Tamandua tetradactyla: one gene and its partners. The protein of the gene in region 3 interacts with the protein of the main gene of each other region in a biochemical or structural test. Links are inferred from orthologs where the notes say so. Each region holds a gene or a part of one and is shown on either strand. Other genes may lie near its edges. The genes, in order: NOTCH1, BCL3, NFKB1 and MAP3K8.

Region 1 (7,541 bases), on a different chromosome or scaffold from region 3:
TCTGAGCAGGGATCTGTGCTCTGAGCATCCACCTGCAGGTAGGCGGGTGGCCACGGCCATGGGCTATTGGGACAGCCCAGGTGGCCAGGCCTCCCTCGGCAGCAGTCCCACTTCTTGGATGGATGGTGCCACATCAGCCATGGGATGGGCCGGGGGCTGCACCCAAAGCCCAGTGCCAGCTGGGCCTGTCTGCTCAGCCGCTGGGGGGGCCGGGGATTGGGCCGGGTACATGCCTGGGCAACACACCTCGCAGGTGTCTGCACCCAGGGAGCCTTCTGGGCCATGGTGCAGGGTCCATGGAGGGTATGGGCTGGCCAGCCAGGAGTTAGGGCCCCGCTTGCTTGGTGGACTTGCACGGGGAGACCAGGGTCTCGGACCCTGTGTCCTCTTCCTGCGGGCTGTCCGTCAGTCATCTGGTCGGTGAACAAACCTTCCGGAAGCATCCATGGTGGGTGCTGGGGACCAGGCAGACACCAGCCCGGCCCTGCCCTGCTTTCAGGGGCTCACACCTTTGAGGAGTCAGGCAGGGACAAACGGGGGGGGCTCATTTCAGGTGGAGGACACCAGTTATGCCAAGCTTGGAGGCAAGAGAGAGGGGACAGACGGAATCCAGCCTGCCCTGGTGGGTGCAGAGCCCCAGGGGCCTCCTCCAGCACTGTGGGGTCCTCTAAGGACATGTGGTGGGTGGGCAACTGGGCTGAGTGGGCCTCTACATAGGAGAGGGGGAGGGGACAGGGAATCAAAACCAAGGCCCAGTCTGACCCCTCTCCACTCTCAGAAGGCGGGAGAAGCCCTCCTAGGTGGCCTGATCCCCTACTGGTACGAACCCACCCTCAGGAAGCAGCAGAGAGGAGCTGGCCGACACCCACCATCATGCCCTCCTTGCACGGCGACAAGCCTTGCCGTCCAGGGTCTGGCAGAGGTGGACTGGGTGCTGAGTCGTGACCCATCCCTCTGCATTAATGCCCCACGGCCACCAGAAGCAACTTATTCTGTGACAGCCGGCCCTCAGGGAAACGCTTGAGGTGGTTTCAAAGTGGAAAAAGGCAGCCAGGACTTTAGAAGGCATTCGATAGACAGGGAAACTGAGGCCCAGGGGTCAAAAGTGCCTAGGGTTGGCCAGCTGGTCAGCAGTGGTATCCAGAATAGAGCCCAGTGCTCTGGCTCCAGCTTTGCAAGCACGTCACAGAGTCTTTTACCATCAACTTAAAAAGACAGAGGGCTCCCACCCTTTAGTATTCTGGAATTCCCCCATACCCTTGGAGCTAGCTCCAACCCCGAAGGTCAGGCCAGTTCCCCAGCCTCAGGCCGTACTTTCCTGTGCCCTAAATCGAACAATGTGAGCCAGAGGACAGGTGTCCCCAGAAGCGTTATCAGTGCACACAGCCCACTGCAGCCTTCAGGGGCCCCTGCCCTAGCGGTCGGATGCTGCTGAAGAACTGGGCCTGGCCAGCCCTGAGAAGGCACTGAGCCTCGGCTTCCTCACCTGAGATGAGAAATGGGGAGACACATGCCTCCTCCCCCTTCCAGGGCTGCCCCCTAGGCTCCTAGTGAAAGAAAAGGGGCCTTACCCTTTTTTCTCAGCCCTGGCTGCACCTTGGAATTTCCTGGGAAGCTTCTGATACCACTGGCACCCCCACCCCCCACCCGCAAACCAGGCTAGAGCCAGTTTGGTCTGAGTTAAGGTTGCTGAATCCGGGCTGAGTATACAGCAGTCGCTCCAGAAATGCCTCTTTATTTACCTTGGGATGTATTCTGACCTCAGAAGGACTTGTGGATGGCATGGGGGACAGGGATGGGGTGTGCTTTGGGGGACAGGAATGGCCCAAGGTCAGCAGGGCCTCCCCAGCTCAGCCTGAAGGCAGCAGCCCTGTATCTGGGGGGCCTGTAGAAGAGGGTGGCTGCCAGACACCCCAGGCATCCCTCTGCACCCAGACCCCATGGCTTCCCCTCCCTTCCACCCCCCACAGGTTCTAGGACTCCAGTCACTCGGGGTCTGTCCAGGGGGTGTCCCTGGGAACCTTGTCCTGACTCCCACCATGGAAGCCGCTTCATGATCTGGAGGGGTTGCAGCCCCCGTTTAGCCTCTTGCAGACCCACCAATGTCCCCCCACGGGGTTCTGGAGCGGCCAAGCTGTGCTGGGTTTATCCTTAGCCCCCCAAAACCCGCTCCCCGGGGCTTCCTCGGGCTGCCTGCCCTGTTGGAGAAGTTTCAACAGGCTGTCCTGGCCTTACCCCAGCTTGGTCAGGATCCCCATTCCCCACGCCACCCAAGACCCCTGGATAAGGAGGGACCAGGACCAGGGAGGCCAGAATTCTCTGGCCTCATTTGTGAATAAAAAAGCTTAACATCCACTTGTCAGGGCCAGGCCCACCCCCTTCCCAGGCCCAGAGGGGAACCCCACCCCCCATCTACCTTGGCTATATTCCCTCTCCAGCTTCAGGCACTTGCACTTCTCCCTTTCCTGGGATGCCCCCACCCCCAGCTGTCTTTGGGAACCCCCCAGGGGACCACAGAGCCCTGGCAGCCGAGTAACCTGTGCACTCAGCTTTATCCCTGGTGAGCATCAAGTGTCTGTTCTCTTCCGGCTGGTGAGGCCCAGAAGGAAGGGGCTGTGGGTACACCTGGGCTCACACCAGAGAGGGACTCTGGTCCAGTGCTCCCCTGCTCCCAGCCATAGCCAGACTTCAGATGGGAGAGAACTCACTTCAAAGCCAGGGCTGGAGGTGCTTTGCCTTTCGGCCTGGGGCTCTCTGGGTGGAGTGGCAGGGATGGGGTGAGCAATGTGTGCCCAGAGTCCTGAGCCTGTGAATGGGGGGTAGGGGACAGGAAAGGGGTCTGTGCAGCACTGTTCTTCCTTCTAGGGGAAAATCTGTACCAGGCTGCCCAGCAGTCGGGCTGCTGTGATATAAACATTCCAGCTGCCTCCAGGCTCCTCCTCTCCGGGGCACTGCCCCGGGGAAGTTACCAGGCGCCCTGAGAGTGCAGCCACCTCCTGGAAGGAGGCAGCAAGGAAGGCTTCCCTCAGCAGCTGCCAGGGCCTGGGATGGCTGCCCGGGGTACTTGGGGCAGGGTGTCAGCTGCTGCCACTGTCCGGCAACAGGTGTGCCCTGAGCAGCGGTGAAATGCCGCACCACCAGGCGCCTCTCCAAGCAAGGGCCGCCTCCTCCGGAAGCCTCCGGGATTTCTGCGGTCCCGCGGCGTCTGGTGTTCATCGTGCTCGGCCGGGCCAGTTCCCGCTCGGCCTTTAGCCTCAGCTGGGGCCTCGTTTCCTCCAGAAAGGAAGCCAGGGCCAGGGCTGGGTTGCTGCGCCTCCAGCCATTGCACTCACCCCCTGTGTCGTGATGGGGTGGTGGGCGGCTGCCTGTCCGTGGCACTCGTTCTTGAACTTTGGTTATGCCGGCATCCTGGACGCCTAGTGCTCAAACGGGCTTGGCACAGGATGCCCTAGGAGAAGGAACCCGCCCGGAAGGAGCACGTGGGAGGGGCCGAGTTGGCGCCGGCGCTGGGTCTGCGCGGCCCTGGCGGGGTTTCCGGGGCCACCTGAGGCAGGGGGTGGCGGGGACAGTTTGAGGGCAGTGACGAAGGAGCATTGAGTTCAGCGGGGCCCTGCTTGGGCGAGCAGATGCACTCTCCACGCCGCAAGGCAGTGGCCCTGGGCTCTTCCCTCGAGGCGCCCAAAATCTTCACCACAGAGGCCCAGGGCGCGGCACCACCTTCGTTCAGGGTCAGGTGGTACGGTCTTTACTACCAGGACGTCTGGTGTCGGTGCCCGGTCCCCCAGGGTTTAAAGCCGCTGCCCTTGGGCACCCGCGAAAGGAGCCACGCGGTTCCGCGCGCACCCACGGACGCGGAGGGCGCGACTCCTCTCCGAGCCTCGGTCCCGGGATCTCCCAAACTTGGCCTCGGCCGCCTCTGGTCCCGAACCCAGCGCCTCTCCGGGAACGGCTCCCGCGCCTCCCCTGCCATTGAGATGCAAATGTCTCAATTGGCACCCAGAGAGGACGCCACCAGAAGGGATCCTTCCGCGGCCCGGGGCCAAACTTTGGGCCTCGGGAAACTTTCGAACGAGAAGTAGTCCCAGCGCTAGCCCGACCTCCCTCCGGACGCCCTGGCGCCCTGTTTCAGCCTGGGAGACCCTGGTTCCCTCCGGCGTGTCCAGCCCGAGTGGGCGCGGGGCCCGTCCCGGGCGCAAGGGGCGCGGGCGCGGAAGGATTGGCGGGGCGGGGCCCCGAGGCGGGGCCGGGGGCGTGGCGCGCGTCGGGGGCGGAGTGCACGGCCGCCCCGCGCCTCACTAGTGCCTCGGCTGCGGGAGGGAGCGCAGGGCCGCGGGGTGCGGGGCGCGGGGCGCCGGAAAGCGGAGGGCCCGGCGGAGAGCCGATCCGGCAGCTGGGAGACCGCGGGATCGCAACGCCCTCCCGCCGGCCGGGAAGGAGAGGAGGAGCCGCCCGTGGGACCCTCCGGAGTCAGAGTGCGCCCCAGCCCGGCCGGCCCCGCGCAGGAGGCCGCCCCGGGCGCAGCGGGCAGCCGGCGGGCAGGCATGCCGCCCCTGGCGCCGCTGCTCTGCCTGGCGCTGCTGCCCGCACTCACCGCACGAGGTGAGCGTCCGCGCCACGGGGCCCCACGACTTGCAGCGCCCTTGCAAACTTTGGCGGCTACCCGAGTCCGCGCTCCGGGCTGCGGAGGAGGGTACTGGGAGGCTCGAAGCAGCGGGGTACCCGGGAGGGGGACGGTGGGGGTGAGGGATCGGGAGTTCTGGGCACGGGAGAGAGGCGAACATCACCCCCCTCCCGATCGGGGAGGACCCGCGCTCTCTGACCCTGGGGACTGCGCCTGGAGCCGGCTTTGGAACCAGGTTTGAAGCCGGCTTTGAAGCCGGGTGTGGCGGGCCAGGGGCCCGGGCCCTTGGTCGCGTCCTAAACCAGCTACGCGTGGGTCTCGCAGCCGGGGCGGGCGGGCTGCCTACGACTTTTCGATTTGAATCGAGTCGGGCTCGGTTTCCTGTTGCTCCTCCGGGCCATTTATCTTCTTTCTTCTCCACCTTCCCGCGCGGAGTGCGGGGTCCGGGGCTCTGCGTTCACTTTGGCAAACCCTCGCCGCCGAATCGGCTTCCTGACCCTTTAGGAAAGCCGGCGCAGGGCCGCCGCGGGGCTGCGGGGTACACTCACTCCCTTGGCTCCATCAGTCCCCCCACCCCCCCACCCCATGACCACCCCCGGCCCTGCTCACAAACTTCTCGGTGAAGGGTGAGGGTGAGGGTGAGGGGCGGTGGGTGTGCAGAGCCTCAGCTGCTCCAGGATAGGACTGGTTTTCGCTTTGTAGAGTTCACATTTGGGGATTTTGAGAGGGGGGGTCGGTGGAGGGGGCACTAATTCCTCTCCCTTCCTCCCGGGAATCTAGTGCGGGTTAATTCCTCTCTTTCTCAAAAAGCTGGAGGCAAGAGTTTTCTTCTTCCAGAAAGCAGAGTTCCATGTCTTTGCGGCTGCTGCCCCAACAGAGGGACTCCTCTTACCCTGTCCTGCTAAGATGCGGAGGGAGGGGCTTCATTGATTGGTCCCTTCCCAGAAGTGGCGTTGAATTCTTTTCCAAACGGGGGCTGTTCACCCCACTCCCTGGGTGTGTTCGGGGGCAGCCCCTGGAGATGGCCCTCCTGCCGGAGCAGGTATTGGGTGTCCGAAAGGCGGGGCCAGGTCTGGGGTTGGGGGCTGCGGGTGCAGTCCCCCAGGCCCCAGGAGGCGGCCCAACCCGACAATGAGCTGCTCTGATTCTGCGGCCGGGGCTTTGTTGGCGGGCGGGGCTCCGCAGCTGTCGCATTTTCCCACGAGCAGGGAGCTGAGTTTGGCCGTCCCCTGGCCCACTGCCCCCCTCGCCAGGGTGTTTGAACAGCGAGCCAATGGCAATGGCTGAGTGTGGGCCCCCTGCCCAAGCCGGCGGGGCTGCCTGATGAAGAATGGGGTGGGGGGGGCACACAAAGTTTGGGAGAATGTCCCTAGGTTATCTCGGCTCTACTCCGCAGCAGCCCAGGTGGTCTCCCCCACGCCGGGCACCACCCCATCCACCTGCCAACCTGCCCCCTTCCCCATTTCCCCATCCAGCTCACTGGGCTGAGTGCTGAAGCCCTTGAATTTCCTGTAGTGGGTGGGTGGAGGGGCAGTCCCGATGTTCCCTGACCCCGATGTCAGGGTGGGCTGTCTGTCGGTCTCCAGAGGTGGGTGGCTTGGGGAGGGGAGGGCCTGGGACTCAAGGCGCAGGCCACGCTGACCTCTCGTCTCTACCTCTCCCCAGGCCTGCGCTGTTCCCAGCCCGGGGAGTCCTGCCTGAACGGCGGCAAGTGTGAAGTGTTGGCCAACGGCACGGAGGCCTGTGTGTGAGTATGCGCCCCGCGGGACCTGTTGCTTAGTCGGGAGCGGGAGCCCCTGCCCGCTGTGGCGCTGGGGACAGAACACTGGCCCATTGTCTTGCGGAGATGGCCCAGAAGGCTGGGCGTGGTCACGTGCTGACTTTTATTGGACAAAGTCTGGCAATTACTTAATCACCAGTAATTATGCTGCATTCGAAGCAGGAGCTGAAGCAGGTCTGGCCGCTGGGTTCCAGCACTCCCGTTTCGAGGCAGGCTTACCGGGGCTCTCAGTGGGAATCTCCTGCACCCTGTTTCTTCCTGAAGTCTCCAGTGGGCCTGCCCCGGGGCTCAGGGCCAGTGACAGGGGGGCCCAGTTCCCACCGCCTTTTACCTGGAGAGCACCTCCTTGGGGCAGGTGGTGCCTCCTCTGGGCAGGTGAGCGCCTCCTGTGCAGGTGAGCCTCTCATCAGGATATTGACTATTTCAAAACCAAACCCAACTGGCTGGGCTGTCTGCCTCTCCAAGTTCATTCCTTCCTCGCTTCAGGGTGAGGCTGGGGAGAGGGCTCGAGCCCCTTGGCCTCCCTTTCTCCCGGCACGGGGGTGGGGTGGGGGGAGTCTGCCTTCCCTTTGGCGTCTGCCTTCCCTTTGACTCCCACCTCCCCATTGCCGAGGCCCGCCGGCCCCCACCCTGGCCTCGGTTTCCCCGGCTGCAGATTGGGCACAGGTGCAGTGCAGTCTGCAGCCCCATCCTGACGCCCATAGGAAATCTGTTCAGAAGGGCACTGTCTGTGACAGCCGTTCGGCCTCGGCCAAGTGTCTGCTCTGGGCCAGTGCCCTTCAACTTGAGTTCTTCCCTGATGAGAAGGACGAGCAGATCTTGGTGGCTGCAGGAAAAAGTCCCTTCCTCCCTGCCTCGGGAGACTGCCCATGAAGAAGTGGCTCTTGGCTGAGCCGACTGCCCTCGTTCCAACTGTCGAGGGGCCCCTTACCCCGGCCAGTCCCCAGCCCCCTGCTCGGGCTCTGCCCCGCTCTGGCTGCCCAGCCTGTTGGCGTGCTACCTCCACCCCCTTCGGCCCCCCACCCTCCTTGAACTCAAGCCAATTAAGCAGGCCTGGAGCAGTGCCCCTTTGTCCGTCTCTAATGAATGCACACTACTTTTTTTTTTTTTTTTTTGCTTTTTGGGGCCTTTTTCTCCCCC
Region 2 (7,268 bases), on a different chromosome or scaffold from region 3:
AAGTACTTTCTCCCACTTGGGCTCAAGGGGATAGCCCACAAACACCCATTGCCATGTATTGAGCATTTACTGTGTACTGCCCTATCGTCTGCACTAATGCACCAAATCCTAATTGTGATTTGCACTGTTATGAAGACCGATTTCCAGATGGGGAACTGAGGCTCACCCCCTCCAGAAATGGGTCTGCTCACTCCTACCTGAGTCTCCAAACCGACTTCTGCACCCTCACACACTTTGGTCCCTGTTTGACAGAGGGGCGAATCTGAGGCATGGACCAATGAGAAAGTGGCCCGCTGAGATTCAAACATAAGTTGGCAGAATACTAAGAACTGCAACGATCAAGTGTACTGAGTGCTTACTATGTGCTAGGCCCAGAGCTCAACCCCCTCTTGCAGGCTTTCATGGCAGCCTCAGAAAATGTTCCTCTAATTGTAGGTGATAAAGTATGGGGTTGGGAAATCAATCTGGGGAGCCTTCAGATTAGTTCAGTGGGTTGCAACAGTGAAATAATAGAAAAATATCAAAGTAGACCCCATCATCAGATATTGTTTGTTTCGTGCAGTTTTTCTTTCAAGTGTGTGTACACATCTTGTGCATATGTTTGTGTGCTGGATTTGATATAAAGTAATACTAATAAACACTTATCAACCAGCTACACTATGTTAGCAGCTTTACATGTATAACTTATATCATCAATCACTCAGTGCAATGCATTTCCCACTTTGGGGCTGTGATAAAACATTTGAAGCCCACTGCTCCTTAGTCCTGGGGGGATGCGCTCTCAGGTTGCCCATTTCTGAGGAGGAAACTGAGGCTCGGAGAGGGGCAAGTCCTTGCTCAGGATCACACAACCAGCAGTGGAGAGAGGATTACAGCTCGGGTCAACGTAACTTGAAAGCCCAAGCTGAGTGCCCCTGTATGTGGTGGGTGAGGTGGGTGGAAGGCTGTCCTCCCCACTCCCCTGTCCAATAGTGGGAGAGGTCACTCACGTGTCTCCGTCCTCATCTGCGTGGGTGGCCATGGCGATGTCAGCCGACAGGGGATGTTCCATTGAACACACCATGGGGTACAGGGGGGCAGGCAGGCTCAGCAGAGGAAAAGGGGAGCCCATGGTTGGGGTGGGGTACAGAGGCAGTAAAGGTCCTGAGCAGTGGAGAACAGAGAAAGGACACTGGTGAAGCCAGGCCTGGAGACCCTTAACCTATTGCCCACCTCTTGGCCTTCAATCCTGCAGAACTGCCTACCCTTCCTTGCAGGTCCCTTTGTATCAAGATAACCCCTGCCACGTCCTCCTCTGGCCTCCCACAGCCCATTTCCCCTTGCCCCCATCTGGTCACCCTCATTGTCACTTATCTTTCCATGTGCCTGACCCCCATCACCCGCCAAGGGAGCCCCCATCATCACCCATGGGGGGACCCCAGGATTTGTTTGATGAGTGAATTTGTGGCTGAGGGAGATGAGAAATAGATGGAGAGCTGGGCATAGTGAATGTGCAGAGGGTTTGAGGAGAGGGAAGGGTTGAAATGGGAGCAGGGGGTACAAGAAGCCGATTCAAATCCAGCTATTGGAAGAGACTGTGGCAGCAGTCACATCCATACCAGTGGGGAAAACTAAGGCCTGGGTACTCATCCAAGGGATGGGAAAAGTCAGTGTGGTGGTGGCAAGGCCTCCTGACTCACGGCTTGAGGCTCTCCCTCTGCTGCACTTGGAGGGGCTTGGAAGGTGCAGAAAGTGGATCAAGTTTTGGGGTTACTAAGCGTGGGCCCATTGCAGCTTCTGGGGCCATCTGGGGAGAGTGAGGTGAACACAGCTGTGGTCCAAGGGCTGCCCCTTTCATGAGATCAAGGATGGAAACGGGATGGGGAGAATGGTGGGTAACTTTCTCCAACATCCCCTGATCCTTGGTGGGGGGGGGAGGCTCATTCCTGGACTCCCCAAGTTCCAGGTCCCTGTGTCTCCAGTACCAGACCTTGGGGCCCTGGGATCTTCTGCCCAAAGTCCACTGACTCTCTCATCCTGGCCCTAAATCCTGAAATCCCAGAATTCTCTAGCCCTGCCACTCCATTCCTAGAATTCTCAGTCTGCAGACCTCCTAAGGCCACCTGCCCTTGTGACCCCTGATTGGCATCTCAGCTGAGTTTTTGTTCTCTTGACTCCTTGGGGCCCCCAGTTATTGGGTTCCTGGAACTCTTCCTTGGATCCCTGTGATCCCAGATATTGGGATGCTCAGAACTCCAAGCTCTATTGTCGTAATTCCCCATGTCCCCTGATTTTGACATCCTGGGACCCCTTCATAGCTGTCTCTTTAGTACCCCATTTGTGGTTCCCCTGACTGCCTCTGACCCCTACGTGGAACCCAGGAACCCCAGTTTCTTGGGTCCAGGCCCTGACTCCTCATAACCCTAAATTTCTGGGTCATGGAGATTTGTAATTCTGAGGCACCTATATCTGTGGCCTGGGACTTCAGGCTATGCCCTCAGCTCCCTGGGACCCCTGTATGTGTCCCTAGGACTCTGGGTCCTGTCCCCCTGTCTCCAGCTTCCTGGGACACCACATAACTGCGCCCAGGGTTCTGCCCCCTAGCTCTGGTGACCCTGTACCTTGTGCGGTTCCCACCCAGTCCTGACCCGCGGGGGCCACTCACCCTGGTAGTAAAGCGCCTCCGGCCGGGCCAGGCCGTGGGGGACCCCGGAAACGGCAGACGCGTCGGCGCCACCACACAGGGGCTCGGAGGGGAGGACAGGGCCTGCAGAGGCGCGGGGGGCGGCGGGTTCCGGGGAGGACGCGCGCAGCGGGCGCTTGCGGAGCGGCAGCGCGGCGCCGGGGGGTCCCGCGGCCTTGGGCCGGGTGCGCAGGTCCACGGGCCCCTCGTCCATGGCCCCCGCGGGGCATCGGGGCATGGGGCCGCCGGGGACGGCGGCCGAGCGGGCGGCCGGAGCGCTGCTCCGCTCAGTGGCACGGGAGGGTGGTTGCGCCGGGCGCCGGGACTTCCCCTGCCTCCCGCTGAACTGAAGGGACTTTTGTCGGCCGGGGCGGTGCCGGCCGGCCGCCTCCCCGCCCTCGACCGCCCCCCGCCCCCCCCTCCCGGGGCCACCCGTCCGCCCCAGGGGTTTCCTGGACCCGCCGCCGCTCCCGTCGCCGCGCAGTGCAGCCCGCCGCGCTCCGCCCTGGCCGCGCCCCGCGCCCGCCCCTCCCGGCGCCCCGGGCGGCTCACCCGGGTTGGGAGGCGGGGGCGGGGGTCCCCGCCCCTGCGGCAGCGGGCTTCGCTCAGCCTCGAGGCTCTTGTCCCTCGGGCTCTGTGTCTCCCTCTCTCGGTATCTCTCTGTAGCTGTGTCTCTCCTTGACGGAGATCTCTCCGGTCTGAACACGCATCACCCCGATTTCTCTGTCGCTCTACGTCTCACCGTCTCTACCTCTGTTGTCTGTTTGCATTTCTCACTCTCTCTCTGTCTCTTAGTTGCACTCTTCTCTGCCTATCCCCCCCCCCCGCCGGGAGGTAATTCTGGGAGAGCCTGGAGTCGCTGGACCTGGGTTCGAATCCCGCCGTTCACTTCCTCACTGTGTGAACTTGACTGGGCACTTCCCCTCTCTGGGCCGTTTCCTTCTCTGTGGGAGTGAGAAAACGCGCCCAGGGCCGGGGCTGGGGGTCGGCGGGCGCCCAGGAACTGTCCCTCCGCCTCCCCTGCCACCGTCTCTGCCTCTTCTCTATGCCTCTTTGACCAGGCCCGGGGTGCCCAGAGGGACAATGAATGTGATTCCTCCCCTCAGGCCCGGGGTGCCCAGAGGGACAATGAATGTGATTCCTCCCCTCCGGGTCACTGGGTGCTCGGAGAACGGTGGGTGTACTAAGAGAGGGACACGGAGATGGAGGCGCAGAGCTCTGGAGAGACAAAGGAAAGGGACACGGGAGAGAGAGATAGCAAGAGACCAAGAGACACATCAGCAGTGCGGGGACAGAACGACCAAGGCCAGGCTCCGGGGTGGGGGGGTGGCAGTCTGACCTCCTTCTTCTCCTCCACTTTCCCCTCCCCTCGGGGAGGGGTCGAAGCGTAGGGAACAGGCCCGGTGGGTTGGTGTTGGCGGCATGACTCAGACAGGCGGGAGCAGGCGAGGGGGAGGGGCAGGGGCGGGCCCCGTCCGCGTGGTCGCTCCTCCCCCTTCTCCCGCCCAGGGGGCGGGGCTCCTGCGGCCCGGGGCTTTCCCGGATTTCCCTGGGGGCGGGGCCGCCGCTGGGGTTGAGTCCGGGTCACTGAGTCACGGGAGGCGGAAGAAGGGCTATGCAAACCTGGGGGAGCCGGACAAGGGGTTCCGCACCCCAGAGCTGTCCGGACGGCACCCGGCGGGGTAGGGGTCTCCCTGCTTTGCTCCCTGAGACCCTGTCTGTCTGGACAACTCTGTCCTCTGTCCGTCTTCCCTTCTCCCTTTTCTCTCACTGTCCCTGATCAGGCTCAGCTTCTCTTTGTCCCTTTCTCCCGAACCCATGACATTGTCCTTTTGGCTCTCCATCTCTGCCTGATCGTTCTGTCTCCTGGCAGCGTCTCTCTGGGACCCGGAAGCGGGTGTGGGGCCCCGTCCACCAGGAAGAGACTTTGGCCTGGACGCGGGCCCCACCCCAGTGGATCATTAACCGGGATTGGGAGGAGCAGCTGGGGGCAGAGAGAGTCCCGGCGCCCTGGGCCTCTCTGTTATCCCCCCTTTGAAGCCCTGCAGTAGAGTGAAACATCTAGGGTCACAGACCTGGGTCCAAATCTCACTCCCACCCCTTGCTCACCTAGGGACCTTCAGCAAGCTATCCCCTCTCTCCTGGAAATGAGCCTCTTGAGCCCTGCCTCCCAGTATCCTATCGTGGGAGCTACAACGAAGGAAAGAGGAAGGAAGTGGGTTGGGAAGGGCTGGGCGTCCCGGCCCACCCAGCACTCACCTCTTAGAACCTTAAGCACAGGGGAGGGGCAGTGTGTGGAAGCTGAGGTTCAAACGGTTGGTGCTCAACAAGCTGGTGACCCTAAGACCCCCAATTCCTCCCACTCCCCATCACCTTGTGGCAGGTGGTGCAAAGGGCCTGGGGCTAGACAGAACTGGGGGGAGGGGGGCATGCACACCTGGCCCAGAGAGGCACTTTGAAGGGCTGGGAGAAAGGGTACTGATGGCTCAGAGTTTGAGGATGGAGGAGAGGATGAGGGATAAAAGGGTCTGAGGACAGAGGATCTGAAGGAGGAAGACAAGTCTGAGAACTTGATTGTCTGAGGGAGAGGGGAGAGAGCCTGATGGAGGGATTGGTGGAGAAGATGAGGGCCTGGGGGTCAGGGAAGAGGGACTGAGGGAGGAGGTCAGAATCTGAGGGAGGGGGCCAGGATCTGAGGAAGAAGGATCAGTCTGAGGAGAAGGACGAAGTAAGGAGGTCAGAAGTGCGAGAGAGTTGGGAGGAAAAGAGGGGTCTGAAAGAGAAGGAGACTTGGAGAGGGTCTGAGGGGGAAGGGCTTGATCTGAGGGGGGAGCAGCAGACTGAGGAGGGTCTCCTTGTGGCAGAGGGGGAAAGAGGCATGCCTGAGGAGCCAGCAGGGACTAGAGGGAGGGAAGGGAAGGCAGGCTGGGAGTCGGCCCCGCCCTGCTGCTCTCTGACTTCCCAGAATCTTCTGCTACTCAGGAAAGTCCCAGCTCCTGCACCACCTCCCTCCAGTGTCGGGAACGGAGGATGCGGAACCAGGATGGCTGTCCCCTCCTTTCCCCCCTCTCTCCTTGCACCCCAGGCAGGGAGGGCTGGGGTCTTCCCTCTCTGGGCCTTGAGCTCTGCAGCCCTCTCCTGCCTCCTGCCCACTGCTGGCGGGGGCAGCCCCTGGATGAGTCTGCAGAACTTCCTGAAGAAGGCCTGGAAGTCCTGCTTGGAGTCTGACCATTTTCCCTCATGCAGTTTGTTTCTCCTCCCAGCTGCCTCATCTTCCCTCACCCACATTCAACTCTCCCTGTGGGAGGAAGACCAGGAGTTTGCCCATTTGAGGTCCCAGTGGTAAAGGAAGTGCAAACTGAAACGCTGTGGGCATGGGGGCATCTCTCCTGCTCTTTGGGCCTTGGTTTCCTCTCCAAAGGAGAGGAAAAGGGCAGGGCGGCTCAGGCCCTTAATACCCATCGGCTCCATTCAGGGGCCTTCTGCTACTTTGCTTCAAACTGAGGCCTGGGTGCAAGTCCTGTGTCCTGCCCTGACTGGCTTTATGACTTCCAGGCAGTTACCTGCATGGAGCTTCAGCTTTCTTATCTATAAAACAGACCAAATAGAGAAAATTTGCTTCCCTCTATGGGGCCTGATGTGTAGAAAGTGCTCAGTGCAACGAAGCTACTACTTTTATCATTATTGTCAGTTAACCTAGGCTGCCAGCAGCAGGACCCACTTCACTAGGGTGATTAGGATTCAGTGTGCTGGGCTTAGAGACCTGAGGGTGCCATGTGCTAGCTATGTGACCTTGGGCTGGTGGCTTTCTCTCTCTGCCTTTGTTTTGCTTTCAATAGTTGGGGATGACAACAGCGCCTGCCTCAAAGCGCTGCTGAACAGACTGTGTGAGACCAGGTTTGTGCGATGGGAGAATGAATGAATGCCCCCCCCATCTGCCTTAACCTCACCCTGTGCATCAGGCTGGGGTCTTCTTGTCACCTTTATTTGTCCAGAGATGAGACAAGACCTGACCCAGTCAGCTCCCACTAGAAACTGGCCCACTTAATCCTCTCAACACCTCAGAAAATTCACCTAAAACCCCCATTTTATTGAGGTGGACACTGAGGCATAGGGAAGTGAAGTCCCTTCCTAGGGTCGAATGGTGAGGAACTGGGGGAGTTTTTTAATACAGGGCTCTGGACCCCAGGACTCTGGTTCAAACCTACTGAACTGGCAGGGGTGGTGATTAGTTCCAGAAACCATTAATTCTAGCCTCCTACTCCCTGGAGAGGAATGGTTTAGATGGAGAAACTGAGGCATGGGGCAGCAACCATGTGCCCAAGGGCATCTATGGGTTTTAGCCCAGTCCACACTCTTTCTGCTGCGTTTCTTCAACCCCAGGGAGGATCGAATGGGTAGAGAGGGGTCTCATTGCAGCAGGAGGGAATAAAGTTAGACTTCAGGTTAACTGATAGAGAAACCATCACCAGAACCTCCAGGGAGGTTCAGAGACAGCAAGTGAATTCCACAGATAGAGGCAAACAGAGGCTCTGGGCCTGGATGGGGAGGGACGTGCCTGAAGTCATACGGCCTCCCTTTTGGGATCAGGGCTGAAAAGTCCACC
Region 3 (6,963 bases):
CCATTCCCACTACTGTGAGAGTTTCTTCCCAGGGCAACTCTTACTTCACCAACCTCTAGGAGTTCTATTTTTGCTTCTAATGCTTTTCTCCAGGGAAAATCATTAAAAATGTAATAGCTGTGAAGTCTGGGAAATAGAAGCAAGACAAACCTGGCAAACAGACAATCAGGAATAACGTGATTCTCTCTGAGCAAGGTTTCAGAGTAACAACATATGATTATCCTAGTTGCCACAAGGCCAGATCAGTGTTACATTTTAAAGGCTTTCCTTCTTATCCCTAACTGGACTCTTTCTCTGTGCTCCTACTCAGAGAGATGCTCACTATATGAGTATCAATGTTTTAAATCACAAATTAGAGTAGTTTAGAAAAGAGACCCTTCATTAATTTTTTAAGTGGCCTCATGAGTTATACTCGTTAGGACTTGAAAATACACTGATTCAAAGCCTTACTATTTATCTTTTCCTATAAAATTCTATCTTATCTGTGTGTAACAATTTTATTAGCAACACACATCAAAATATTAGCATGGATTCTTGGGTAAAGCCTCCCTTATTTTTGCACCTTATCAAGAAGATGAACAAATAGTGAATCACACATGGTTTGGAATGACTCAAAGTCCTAAAGAATAGACTTGGTAATTGTTATATATAATTTCCCAGGAAAACTTGCACAAGTTTGTGAATTTGGTGGATTTTAAAAAATCCACCATTCAAAGGGGAAATTTCAAGCTAGAAGGGATACATAGAGATAACACAATCCAATGTTTTTACACAACATGAGACAACGTAAAGAATTCAATCAAGTATATTTATATATTTTTTAAATTTAAGGATTATTTTGAAATATTCATAGCTATAGTCAAAGAAATTTAAATATATAATGAGAATTTTAAAGATTTGGTTTCGATGTCTTCCTTCTTTTACTTTTAATTTAAAATGTTATAGTGCTAAACATGAGTCATGTAAGCTACAAATTGCATTCAGCCACATTTTGTTACTTGCTATTGTTCTGGCTCAGCTTCGCACACATTTATAATATGCTTAAAAAGAGATAATACTAACATCTATATACCTAGTAGTTTAGAAAGGGAAGAAAATGTTTAGAGCAGAAGAAGTATTTTAAAAAGCAAGTGGGAAAATGAAAATGAAATACTGCAACACATCCATTCTTGTGACAATATGAAATGCAGGTAAAACTTCTTATGTCAGTTAAATATTAAAAATAGAGAGATAAAAAGTACTTCTATGTTTGTGTATAACAATAAGGAAATTTAAAAGATATTTTTCATGGACTTTAGGAAACAAATTAGATGTTCATAATATGCTTTTTCCCAACTCTCCATTAAAATGTCCATGAACATAGATCTTTTTAAAAATGGCAATAGTTGCAGAAGATCTTATGACAAATTAGGAATGGGATTTTCTCAAAAACCAGTTGCAATGCAGAAAGATAGGGTATATAACAAATTCTCCCACCCTCTGAACCAAAACCAGTCCATCCCAAAGGAAATGGGAATATATTTCAACACACCTTCTACTTCATTCTTCAATTAACTTCACCTATCTTGACTATGTGATAGGTAACAGAATATATGGACATTTCCCAAATCCATAAAAAGAGAGTTGTCTAATGCCCTCCACTTCCAAATCAGAAGTGAGAAAGTGGACATAAAACACACATAATTAAGGCAAAATGTATTCGTATATTCGATGTATAATTTCTGTAAAAAGACTCTTTCCATTTTCAAATTATCAGTGTATTTATCTCTTTTACTCTTTTCAGACACATGATTTTCATCTTAGTTTTCTCTAAATAACTATTTGTCTGGATTACAAATGAAATTGCAAAGGGAAAGACTAGGGTATTATCGGGTTTTTTTCACCCTAAAATAGGATTTTGCAACAAGGCAACAAAAAGCCTTGCATGTCAGTTCAGACATGTATATAATCTATATATATAATATAAATCCTGGGGATTTATTATAAGGAATTGGCGCACATAACTGCAGGCATACTTCAAACTGGAAACTCTGATAAAGGTGATACTGGAGTCTTTAGTCCAAATTCACCAGGGGAGGCTGAAATTGAGTCCAAATTCCTCTTCTAATCTCTGATATCTTGGCTTTTAAGACCTCCAACTGATCGTATGAGAAGACTCCCCACTTTGCTGAGAGCAATTGCCTTTGTTGATCTTGGAGGCAATCAAAGGATTATATCCACAAAGCCGATCTACAAAATAACCTTCACAGAAGCAAAAAGGACAGTGCTTGACCAGACCACTGGATACCATATCCTAGGCAAGTTCCCACATGAAATCAACCATCACAAAGTATTAGAGTTGAAGAAGGAAAGTTCTGCTTTCTTAAGAATGCTTGACCACATCACACAAATGTTAATAAGAAGTGTAGTACATTTGAATTTTAGTCACCAACTCAAATGCATCAGAAATACAATCCAGTTTATTTCCCTACAAATCAACTTTAAAAAATCTATTACAAGTCCTCATTCCATCAGAGGTCAGTCAATTTGGGGCTCTCTTCTCCCCTTTCACTGGGGTGGCTTATGTGGGGCCAAGGTGAGACACAGGACATCTGCTTCTCATTCGGTCAGCCACATAGGCACTGACCGGCTGAGACATTCATCGTTCAGACTGGTCCTCACCCCTTGTATGTCATCAACCCAGACAAGGTGAGACTGAGATGTACTAGTTCCTGTGGCAATGGCCCCTTCATCTCTGGCAGCTCCCAGCACTTCTCCCACGCCATGCTTAAAGAGAACAAGGACCACTGGGCTGCCTCACACCATCCTAAATCATTGGCACTCTGGGCACAGTGTTTACCTCTTTAGGCAGATGCCTTTTCCCAGAGCTCTGATTCTGAGACAAAGCATAAAGTTCTCTAAAGGGAACTCCTGTGATGACGTCTCCTCCATTTGTCCTCATTCTCTTTCCTATCTGAGAAATATTTTTCTATTGTCTGAGTAGAAGATACCTATTCTTCCAAACTATTAGAGTTCAAACAGTTTATCTATACTTCACATAGCCCTAAAGACTCTGATCTTTACAAAGGCAAATTACATACAATTACAAAATAATAATTCACAATAAGTTATAAATTTATTTATAATAAAATAATTTAATTAATGCTCATATAGGACAGAATTTTAACAAGAACATTTAGTCAAAATAAGAATGATACTTGTGGGCGGTGCAAAAGTGGCTCCGTGGCAAGAACTCTTGCCTGCTGAGCTAGAGACCAGGGTTCCATTCCCAGAGCCTGCCCATGAAACAAACAAACAAAAAAGTTATGGTTAAAATTAGTGCATGCAATTCACTGGAACAAGGTAAAAATACATACAATATTCTAGACAAGTCTTCTATATGAAGTTAGATAAAGCGTGGGGGTAAAGCAGCAAGTGAAAATATTAAACTTCTGAGTAAACGGGAGACTGCAAGGATATAAAAGGGAGGCATACCCAATGCTAATCACTGCACTGCACTACTAGTTAATTGAACAGTTTTAAAGAGTATATCATTCAATATATGTTAAAACTAGAGAATTTTTAAATATCCACCTTTAAAATATCTCTATTTCTGAAACATCCTATTTTGGGATTCATGCAACAGTATATGAAACGTGAAGTTATCATTTAGATAAAAACATTTTCAAGGGAAAAAAGATCTGTAACATCTATCACCATCAGCCTTAAATGCATTTCCACCATGATCTATCAATTTAAAATATGGAACGCTTCACAAATTTGCGTGTCATCCTTGCGCAGGGGCCATGCTGATCTACTCTGTATTGTTCCCCGAAATAAATTAACACGGTCTTTTTCCCCTCTCGGCCTAGCCCAGGCTTGTCAGAGCCTAAAATCCACCCCAGGCATCCGCCGGCGTCTCTGCTTTGTGTACTGAGTTTGATTTGCCATCAAGTCCCAGTTTGGGAGACGCCCTCGCACCAGGTACGTCTGGTGTGTCTCAGGATTTTCAGTTTGCTTTTGGGGGCGGGAGGGAAGGGGCGCGCGTGTCCCGCCTAGAAGGCGGCTGGGTGTGCTGGAGGCAAGTGCTGCCGGGCCAGAGCGCAGTCGGAGGGCTCCGAGATCGGATTACGGGACTGCAGGACCAGGGGCGCAAGAGTGGGCCCGGGGCTCGCAGGGCTGGGTGCGTCCTCCGGTGCCGGGGTCGCTGGCACTCCCTCCTCCACCGTCAGGATCTGGCAGAAGATGAGAGTGAGCGCAGGAAGAGGAGTGTTTTGGCAGGGTTCCAACCCTGGGCTGGCAGCTGGCGCCGAACCACCGGAGGGCAGAGGCGCCTGCGGTTGCGCTGCCTGTATCCACGAGGGGCGCTGGGGCCCGTGACGGGGCGAGCGCGGGCTCTGCGCGAGGGTCAGAGGAAAAGATTTCCGCTCCCGAGTGCTGCCCGGGTGGTCCCAGGCGTCCGGTAAGGCTGATGGTCATGGTGGGGAGGGAGCTCCGGAAGCGACACGTGGAGCGCTGAGCGGAGGAGTCGGCGAAGTCTGTATGCTATTTATTTTTAAAGGAAGTACAGTCCATTTCACTTCCAAAGATTATACACTATTAACTCACCATTATATTATTCTCATTCTTTGAAACCTTATTTATTCTTTTCTGCTTGAACTATTTTGTTGGAATCTTTTCACTGTAAATAATAGAAACAGAATTCAAACTAGCATAGCACATTAAAAGAACTAGTTTGTTAATATAACTGGATTTCTAAAATGTAACTGCTTCAGGAAAGGCTGGATCTAGGGAATCAAATGATGCCATTGGTACTGTCTTACTTTCTCCATCTCTTAGTTTATTTGCTTCAATTTTCATTTCTCAGGCCTGGAATTCCAGGTTTATATGGTTCTTACATGCACTCACAGAAGTAGACTCCCCTTCTCCCAGGGTGCGTGCCTATCAGGACTTGATAGTTTACTAAATTACCTACCCCAGGAACTAAGGCTCTGGGGTTAGAAGGAGACGCCACTTTGATTGGTCAGCTCAGGTCATACGCTATCTTAGGTCCGATGCCACAGAAGCAGATCTTGAGCCAAGGATTCAGTCGAGAGTGATTTATTAAGGACATGTTCTCAGAAGAAATCATTAAGGATATGGGGAAATCAGGATAGAGAAGGAAAGTAGCCAAGCTGTTTCCAAAGCCTCATACGGAATCTGTGGAGTGCAAATTACACTTCCGAGTTTGTCCCTCTGCCAGAGAAGCTGAGGTAGGGAGAGATTACAGGACCGTAAAACTCCCAGTCGCTTTGAGCTGTCCTCAAAGTCAAGCTATCCAGTGCCCAAGGGTCAGCGTCTGAAGGGCTTAGGTACAAACCGTCAGTGGCAGAGCACACAAAAGGTGCATATGGGTTCATAGAACTGGTAAAAAAGGGTTCCGAATAAATCTGAGTGGGACACCAACAGTGCTAACTGTGCCCAGTTCTGTGGTGAACGAACAACCTCCTGATTGGACACCACCAAAACATTCTCATGGCTTGGGGAAGGGGCAGTTCCCAGATGAAAGGATGTGGGGCAAAAAATAGTAACTGGCCACTCTGTCTTTCAGAGCCTGGGATCAGGCTGTTAAAGATTCCTGTGAGGATAGCATTTTTCTACATTTATCATGTTCTCCTAATAATTTTGGCATAATATGTTGATCCTACTTTATTCAATGTATAAAGGTTGTCACAACTTTTTTGTTGTGAGTAACATTCATGACAAAAAGGACTTTTTTTAATTATTATTATTATTTTTTGACGTGAGCAGGTGCCGGGAATCAAACCCGGGTCCTCTGGCATGGCAGGCAAGCAGTCTTGCCTGCTGAGCCACCGTGGCCTGCCCAGGACCTTCTTTTTAACTATTTATTGTTTTGACCCTTATATCTATTCTGTCAAATCAATTCTTCTATCTCTTCTTTTAAAATTTGACTTACAAATTTTTATTTATTCTCTTTTAAACTTTGCGTTCTGTTGTTTTGTTTCAGGTTTATGTCTTGTCTTGAAAGCAGCACACAGACTGCTTTTTAAACCTTATTTGGTAAAATTTTATCATTTTAATTGGGGAGTAAAACTAATTTATATTTATTATCACAACCAGTGTTTGGTCTTGTACTATCTTGGGTTATGCTTTCTGGTTTTGTTTTGTTTTTTTTAATGACTTTTATGCCGCTTCCTCTGTTTCTGTCATTTGTTGTTTTGGTTGATTTTATCTTCTGTAGATTTGGAAGATTGCAAGGCTGTTTTAAGTTCTCTTGGTACCCTTAAAGGTTTAGAAATCATTCTTTTCTGTTTTTCATTTTCACATAATACTAAGAAATATTTCCCCATGTTTTTACTTTCTCTCAATTCACATTCTTCTCACTAATTCGTTGTCTTTATTCATATTATCTGAACACTTATGCCCATGTTATAGTTATTTGGTTTTATATATAATTTTACAGTATTCTTTTTTAAAAACAATTTCTGACATTTGTGTTCTTTTTTATAATCAAAACTTGAAACAATTATTAGACCTACTTCTATGTTTGACTTTGTTCAATGTATACTATAATTGCTTTCATAGCATAACTTTTCCATGCTTTAGTTTATTTTATTAACTTCACAGTCAGCTGAAATACTCTTCAAAATAATTTTTTACTAAAAAGCATGGTTAATGATGAATTTTCTGAGCCCTTATCTGTAAAAAAAAATGTCTTCCTGTTACTTTGAGATGAACAAAAACACGATTGGATATAGAATTCTTGAGTCAGTTTTTCCCTTTCTTTATATAAAAGATTCTGTTTTAAGCTGACATTTAGTAATGTGAAGGAAGATTTTCAAGTCTGCCTGATTTTTGTTTCATAGTAACATGTTTTATTTCGAAAAGATTATTTTAGAATTATTTTTTCTTGTCCTTGAAATTTAAAGCCTTTGCCAAAATACGCTTTTATTTCCATTAATTTTATTTATAATGTATGTCTTT
Region 4 (7,342 bases), on a different chromosome or scaffold from region 3:
TGCTTGTGAATGCATTCCGATATTCACCCTTTTATCCATCAAGCAGCTGGGGGAGGCAGGGCTGAAATTCTCCATTCTAGGGGCTGTTGCCTCTACCAACTCCTCTGGGATGTCCTAAACAGCAGCGGGTGCAGGATAGAACCTAATGTTGCACTTGGGATCCCCACAGGTCTGAGGGACATCCTGGATCCATTTTAAGATGGTGAATGGCTCTGAGTAGGACCTCCATCACCCAGTAGCTGCAGAAGCTGCTACCCAACAAGGACAGGGGCCCAGATCTTCCTAGGGAAAGAGTTTGCGTTTCAGGTGCGAGGGTAGTTGGCAGGGCTTGGGGTGGAGGGGGCTGCAAGCACCAGACAGGCTCACTGGTGCTCCCATTGCTGGGGATGGAGGTGGGGAATCCTGGATCTCCACCTCTGTTGGACAGTTCATCCTTTTGGGGCTGATGTACCTTTTTAGCAGGGTCCAAACTCATTGCAGAGTGACTGCTCTAACAATGCATGCATGCTCAGCAAATTAAAGCTCTGGAATTTTGAAACACGTAATATTAAAAGTTCAATTATAATTGAAATCCACCCAGTATCATAAGAAACTTACATGTCAATGAAAGAAAAAGAATAGCTATTGGATTTAAAAAAAAATACAATTTCAACTACTTACAAATTTTAAAAATTACAGCAAGTTTTAAATTTAATACTTATATGCCTGTACAGTTTCTCATCTACATCAACACTCAAATATCTTAATTAGTAAGTAGATACAGCTGTTGCAACATAAACACATATAGAAAAAACTATGCTCATGAAATCAGCATTATTATTTTTATTATTATTACATGGGCAGGCACCTGGAATCGAACCCGGGTCTCCAGCATGGCAGGTGAGAATTCCTGCTGAGCCACCATTGGCATTATTATTTTTAATATAATTTAAAAAGCTTATTTGAAGCTTTATACAAATTCAGTACTTAATTATCTTCCTTGAATACTTTGTATTTTAGTTTCATCATAAATTTAAAAGCCACATGTAGGCATCCCCCAATTTATTTGTTTATCCAGTATCCTGAGCAAAACAATATTTTATGTGGCCATGAAAAAGACTGGAAAGCAGTGCCCTATTATATACTTTACCTGTTAATATAGGTCCCAAATGGGTGGGCTGACTTGGCAGTCCACCATTGGCTATAATTTTCTATGAGAAAATGAGCTCTGATTTCCAACCTCTAGATGACAACCCATCATTATCCAAATGTGTGAGTGGAGAAGCCCTCTTCCAGCAAACTGCAAGTGATGCAAACCGTTTTCAAGGTGCTTTTTGTTGGATGCATACAGCTTCCAGAGAGCTGATTTGCAATGTACCTTCTAGGGACTTTGAGTGCATGCTCTTGCCCGAGGTTAAAAACATCAGTTTGCTAGCCAGTTTCCTAGAAGAGGAGGATTAGTTTTGTAAGTTTGTTTTACAGGGGCCTGAACAAGAAAAGTGCCATGAGTACACACACATTTTCTTTTTTCAGTTGTTCTCTCTTTTCAGGGTCCCAGGTTCAATCTTTATTAAGCTTTACTGAGTGATGTGGCCTCTCTCTTTCGGCCAACACCACAAGCAAACTCACTGCTCTCGCCCTCTGTACATGGGACATGACTCTCGGGAATGTGGACCTTCCTGGCAACGTGGGACAGAAATCCTAGGATGAGCTGGGACTCAGCATCAAGGGATTGAGAAAACCTTCTCGACCAAAAGGGGAAAGAGAGAAATGAGAAAAAATAAAGCGTCAGTGGCCGAGAGATTCCAAACAGAGTCGCGAGGTTATCCTGGAGGTTATTCTTACATATTAAACGGATATCATCTTTTTAGTTAAGGCATAATGGAGAGGTTGGAGGGAAGTGCCTGAAAATGTAGAGCTGTGTTCCAGTGGCCAAGTTTCTTGAAGATGATTGTACAAGGATACAGCTGTCGCACTGACTGTGCGATTGTGAAAACCTTGTGTCTGATGCTCCTTTTATCTACCTTATGGACAGATGAGTAAAGCATATGGATCAAAAATAAAGAAGTAATACGGAGAACAAATGTTAAAATAAATTTAGTAGATTGAAATGCTAGTGATCAATGAAAGGGAGGGGTAAGGGGTATAGTATATATGAATTTTTTTCTTTTTTATTTTTATTTCTTTTTCTGAATTGAGACAAATGCTCTAAGAAATTATCACGATGACGAATATACAACTATGTGATGATATTTGAGTTATTGATTACATATCAAAAATGGAATGGTCATATGTTAAGAATGCTTGTGTTTGTATGTTGTGAAGTTGAATTAAAAAAAAACTTTACTGAGTAAAACTTAGTCCTAATACTGGCCCCCGCCGCCCGCCCCCCCTCCAGGGGGTGAAATTTACCATTGCATAAGTCTCCTGCAGCTGGCAAGAATCCTGAGAAACTAGCCATTTCGTCCACTCCCTGGAACGCAACTTCATTTGGGAGCCCTCTATGAAGGAAGTAAGCCTACCACTTAGTTCCCAGAAGATTAGGTGTGGTTTAATGAGCTCATTCAAAGGGGAAAGGGGCGGGAGCGGCTCTGTTTCCATTTTTAACAGGTTTTAAAAGCTCACATTTTGAACAAAAACTGACAGATGAGGAAGAGCCATCTCGGTCTCTCACGCTACAGTGAGAGGTGACAACCTCTCCCCACCTGGCTTCCAGAGAAAAGCTTCAGCTTCAGCCGAGAGCGAGAAGGTTAATTCACTTCTGAGCCAGTCACCCATTCCACCGAGTCCGCGCGTACCAGCCGACGGGTACGCGCGGACTGTCCCCCTCCAGCCCCATCCCCCCAAGACCAGAAAGAGCAAGTCCCCGAAGAAGGGTTTCTCTTCCAGGCACCCGGGGCAATCTGGACGGCTCGAGGGGATGGTAACTGTGCTGCTCCTGTCCTGCCACTCACCCCCCTCCGCATTTATAATAAAGTCCGGGATGATTTAAGTGCCAAGTCACTTGGTCTCGCCGTTTTATTTGCTAATTGGACTCGCTGTCATTGACAGGCTAAGAGGACGGTCAATTAACTTTGTCAGCATCCCGGTCCCTTCTTTACCGGAAAACAAAAGATGCGATTTAAGGTACTACAGCAAGGGCCTCGCTTCTCACCTCGGCTAGCCTAGGTCGGCGGGCAATTCTCCTCTGACTTCTTTGGGCCTCTGTAATAAACCCTGTGCTTCGGTCTCCACGCGAGAGATGGGGCCATCAGTGCGGGCCCCATACCGTTCTGAAGCTGCGGGAGGGAGAATGAGCTCGGGAGGGGGGGACTGGGAAGCAAACCTCGGAGTCACACACGTTTGAGCCTGGGCTCTGCCCCGGACGGCCCACGTCGGGGTTGTAGGTTGGAGACTGTAGCTACCTTACGTTCTCTCGTTCTCCGGGCAGTCTTGCAAAGTGACCCCCTAAGTGGGTGCTTGAGACTTGGCGGAATGGCCAGGGGCGCAGCTAAGTGCAGCTAAGTGCGCGCTGGGAATGCCCCGCAGAGTGGATTTCAGGGAGAGAGGCGCTGTTTCCTTCCACCTCACCTGAACTAAACACTTCCACTCAAAACAGGAAGAACACTACAAAACGAACTTTGCCCTGCTTTCCAATTAGGGCTAGAATCCCAGATTCGCAGCCAGGTGAGGAGATCAGAACAGGTAAGTTTCGTAATGTGCAGAAAGCAAGTTCCAATACGGACTGGAAAGAGCAAATCCAGTTAATACACACTGCCTGAGACACCCCTCCCAGCCCCCCGCCGCGCACGCACATTTCCCGGAGCTCCAGCCCAGGCCCCGGGCCAGCCCGCTGCAGCCTCTCCCCAATGTTTGTTCAACTGCAGTCCGTGCGTGCGGACCACGGATCAGGGCATTCAGTGTTTGGGGACCCCTGACCCGAACTCAAGGAGCCGTGGGGGCCTGGGACGTCCGAGGAGCGCAGAGGGAGCGAGCCCGCTAGGAAACGCGATTCTCCTTGGAGGAGACCAGGACATGGCGGGGAGGCGCGCTCGCCTTGGGTCCTGCTCCGGCATTAGGACGCACTCAGAGACCAGGTTTCCCGGTTCCCAAGTTCCGGGTAAGAGGCATTTGGTGTCCGAGGCCCTTCTGCAGCCGCGCAGTTGCTTTCTCCGTCCCCCGAACAGTTCCTCCCGCCTCCCTCCCCCAACAGTTCGGTAATTCCCGACTCCAGCTCTGGCCGGCGCTTCCTCCTCTGTCCCCTGGCCCCCAAAGCCCCGGTGATCCGCCCCTCCCCTGTCCCCGCCTTCAACTCCGCCCCGGCGCTCCGCGGGCAATGGGGGGGGGGGAGGGCGGGGGAAAGGCCGGAATTTCCCAAAAGCGGGGGCTCCCGCTTCCCGTGTCACCGAGGAGTCGCTTTCTGTTTACGGAGAGAAAGGGGAAATGGAAAACGCGGGGAGGTGGCGGCTGGAGCTGGCGGCACCGCCCCCCCGCCTGTTCAGACGCTGTGAGTCAGGGGCCCACGCGGGCGGCGGAGGCGGCCCGGGGTTCACTCGCCCGCCACGCTCTAGAAGTCGCGCCACGCTCGGGGACCCGAGGCCCGGGCTCTCCCATCTGCCTCCGCCGGATCTGGGTGCCCCGGCGCGCCCCACTCGGGAGGATCGGCCGCCAGCGGGGCGCTGAGCCGTCGGGGGGCTGCACAGAGGCAACAGGTAACCCAGAGTTCCGAGCTTGGGGAGTCTTTGTGGTGGCGCCCTCCTGGGTGCTCGGGGGTCCCCACCTTGAACTAGAGGCTACCCCGCCACCCTCACCCCTACCCCCAGCAGAGGGGAGCTCTCCGGAGCGCGGGGAGGTGGGGGCGTGCCTGGTCCCCTGGCAGCTGCGCTTCCGTCCTGCGCGCGGGTCGCGGGCTGCAGCCGGGCACCGCTGGAAAGCACCTTGCGCAAGGGTCTCACGGGGTGCCGATTTGCGGCTCCTCCCCCTTCCTTCTCCTTCCCGGATCTCCAGCGCCAGGGCAGTGCTGGTCTGGGCAGCGCGCGGGGGAAGCAGGGGCCCGCTGTCACCGCGTCTCTGCCTCGGGGCCCGCCGGGGCAACTGCACTATTCCTGGCCGAGCCCCAGGTGAGTGGACCTCGGAGACCCGAGCACCTGGCTGCCAAGCAGTGGGTGCATTTGCAATTTACAACCCCTTAAAGGCCCCTGACTTTCGGGACCCGGTAGAAGCGAATGGGGATGGGAATCGGCTGTGCAGATTGCTTTTCGAGCTGCTGAAAATGAATTTCGTGCCTATGTACCAAACTCTATACTGTGCCTAAAGGGCGGTTATAGCAGAGCAGGAGTATGGGGCCTTTGGCCTAAGAGAGAATATTAGGAAAAACAAAGTTATTTCCAGGGGCAATGCTTTGTCAGGACTCCAGAAATCCTTGTAATTTTGGGCGAAAGACTATTAGAAGGCAGCCTGGGCTGGTCCCAAGGGTTAACCTGGGACGGCCACGAGTTTCTTTATGCGAAAGATTGCGATGCTGAGCTTTAATGCTTTTGAAAAGGGAGGTTTAGGTCCATAGGTCCAGAATGAAGAATTGCTCCGAGATAAAGCAGGGAAAGAAACGCGCCTGCATTGCTTTACATGCCTGTGGTACGAGCCCCTTCGGCCCCAGCTCCCGGAAGGATTGAGTTTTGTGTGCGCTGCTTCTGGCCATTAAGAAACCTGTCAATTAAGGAAAATCGGATGGTTTAAGTGTCTAGAGGTTTAGATGCAGACGGGCAGTGCTTCTGTCAGCGGAGAAGACTCATTATTGAGAAGAAAATTCTGAGACGTGCCCTGAGGGGCAATGTACTATTTTGGCAGAAAAACCTTTTAAATGGGAAGTAACAGGACTGCATAATCGTCCTCTGTGAGGCAGGAGTCTGTGCCTGTAATCCTGGCCGGTTTCATTCACACTTGCCAGGAAACTCAACATTTGTTTATGGTAGATGAAAGTAGCTAGAAGTATCTTATTAATGTTTAGGACTAGGATTTCCTCTTGATTTTATTACTGATTTCTGAAATAATGGGAAGCAAACAATTTTGCCTATATTTGCAGAACTTTCTATTTCTAAAATTGGAGTCATTGGCTACTGTATTAAGAAGTTGAAATTTTATGAAGATTTGTGTTGAAAACTGCATTCTTTGGGAGTGGCTAGGAGGCCATTGCTAAACAAGAATACTTTCCCAAGCCGTGCTTTTTCTAAAGGGGTACTGATCAGGAATAACTCAGAAATCATTTAGCAGATTGTCTCCTTCATTAAGTCCGGAAACTGCTGCTCCTGCTTTTTGCTGAGCCTTTAGCAGGGAGATGGGTGCTCAGGGCCACGGGGTCGGGGGGTAGGGGGTGGCACTGATTTGCAGGAGCAGACCTCTGCGTTGGCAAGGGAGAATGCCAGGCAAACATCCACTCTCTATCCCCTGGCCTCTCCCCCCATCGCCTTCCAACTGGAAGCTCAGGGGGGTTGTGTGTGTTTAACATCTTAGGCTGTTCGTAGAAATGCTTGAGACCTTCTGCAGGATTTGGAAACCAAAACTTGCCTTTCTTCTCTGGATCAGCTGATTAATTGTAAACCGGGTGGAATTTTTCTTCTCTTTCTCTTATCAGTACAGGAAACTTTCTTTACTCTCAAGCCATTCATTTGACAACAGAGTCCAGGAGCCTTCGAATTTTTCAGCTAATGGGATTCTAAACTGAGCTGTTTTTAAGTCCTATTCTACCCACCCCCAAGTCAAAATTCTCCTAACAGAAACTGCAACTAAAGGCTAGGTGAAACCAAGTTCCGTGTTCCCCCATGTTCTTAAGCAGTTCTCTCAGAACTCACCAGAGTCCCAGGGCCTGAATCACAATCTCCCTCAAAGGCCACCAGTGTCTAGGGGAGCGCACGCCTGCCAGTCTAGATGAAACTGCCGATAACAACCCTCAAAGCATGTCATAGGTTTCTCTTTGCAACCTCACTGTCGTGAGGGTGGGGAAGAAGGTAGCCACATCCCATGTGCAGATAAGAAAAGAGGCCTAAAGCCGCATCTGCACACACAGGAACCTGACTCAGGGCTGCTCTTTTTTGGGGGGATGGGGGAGGGGGAATATGAAACTACGAATCGAACCCCAGTCTCCTGCACGGCGAATGAGCATTCTAGCACTGAACCACCCATGTACCCCCAGTGCTGCTCTTTTGTGCATGCAGAAATAACCCCTAGAAGTCACACAGCTTATTGACAGCTACCAGACCTGCCCTGAGGCCCTTACGTACATTGGCTGATTGAAGCCTCATGCCTGCCTTCCCAGGCAGGTGCTGTTTTACGGATGGGGACATTGAGATACAGAGGGACTGGTCTAAGGTTTGACCCTCGACAGTCT

Evidence for each region.
Region 1: the proteins of NFKB1 (region 3) and NOTCH1 form a complex in vitro, tested with the Homo sapiens proteins (2 studies listed by BioGRID). The link is inferred for Tamandua tetradactyla from reciprocal best matches to the Homo sapiens genes NFKB1 and NOTCH1.
Region 2: the proteins of NFKB1 (region 3) and BCL3 form a complex in vitro, tested with the Homo sapiens proteins (2 studies listed by BioGRID). The link is inferred for Tamandua tetradactyla from reciprocal best matches to the Homo sapiens genes NFKB1 and BCL3.
Region 4: the proteins of NFKB1 (region 3) and MAP3K8 form a complex in vitro, tested with the Homo sapiens proteins (2 studies listed by BioGRID and IntAct, with this or other methods). The link is inferred for Tamandua tetradactyla from reciprocal best matches to the Homo sapiens genes NFKB1 and MAP3K8.

What each region holds. Positions count from the first base shown.
Region 1 is NC_135328.1:126,089,936-126,097,476, reverse strand, and holds the start of NOTCH1 (neurogenic locus notch homolog protein 1), read left to right. Parts: upstream 1-4,534; 5' UTR 4,535-4,541; coding exon 4,542-4,599; intron 4,600-6,286; coding exon 6,287-6,368; intron 6,369-7,541. UniProt on the Homo sapiens protein: Functions as a receptor for membrane-bound ligands Jagged-1 (JAG1), Jagged-2 (JAG2) and Delta-1 (DLL1) to regulate cell-fate determination.
Region 2 is NC_135342.1:18,276,379-18,283,646, forward strand, and holds the start of BCL3 (B-cell lymphoma 3 protein), read right to left. Parts: upstream 3,005-7,268; 5' UTR 2,901-3,004; coding exon 2,645-2,900; intron 1,144-2,644; coding exon 990-1,143; intron 1-989. UniProt on the Homo sapiens protein: Contributes to the regulation of transcriptional activation of NF-kappa-B target genes. In the cytoplasm, inhibits the nuclear translocation of the NF-kappa-B p50 subunit.
Region 3 is NC_135350.1:21,621,234-21,628,196, reverse strand, and holds the start of NFKB1 (nuclear factor NF-kappa-B p105 subunit), read left to right. Parts: upstream 1-3,946; 5' UTR 3,947-3,963; intron 3,964-4,289; exon of another isoform or gene 4,290-4,441; intron 4,442-6,963.
Region 4 is NC_135327.1:221,263,448-221,270,789, forward strand, and holds the start of MAP3K8 (mitogen-activated protein kinase kinase kinase 8), read left to right. Parts: upstream 1-4,327; 5' UTR 4,328-4,670; intron 4,671-4,682; exon of another isoform or gene 4,683-5,078; intron 5,079-7,342.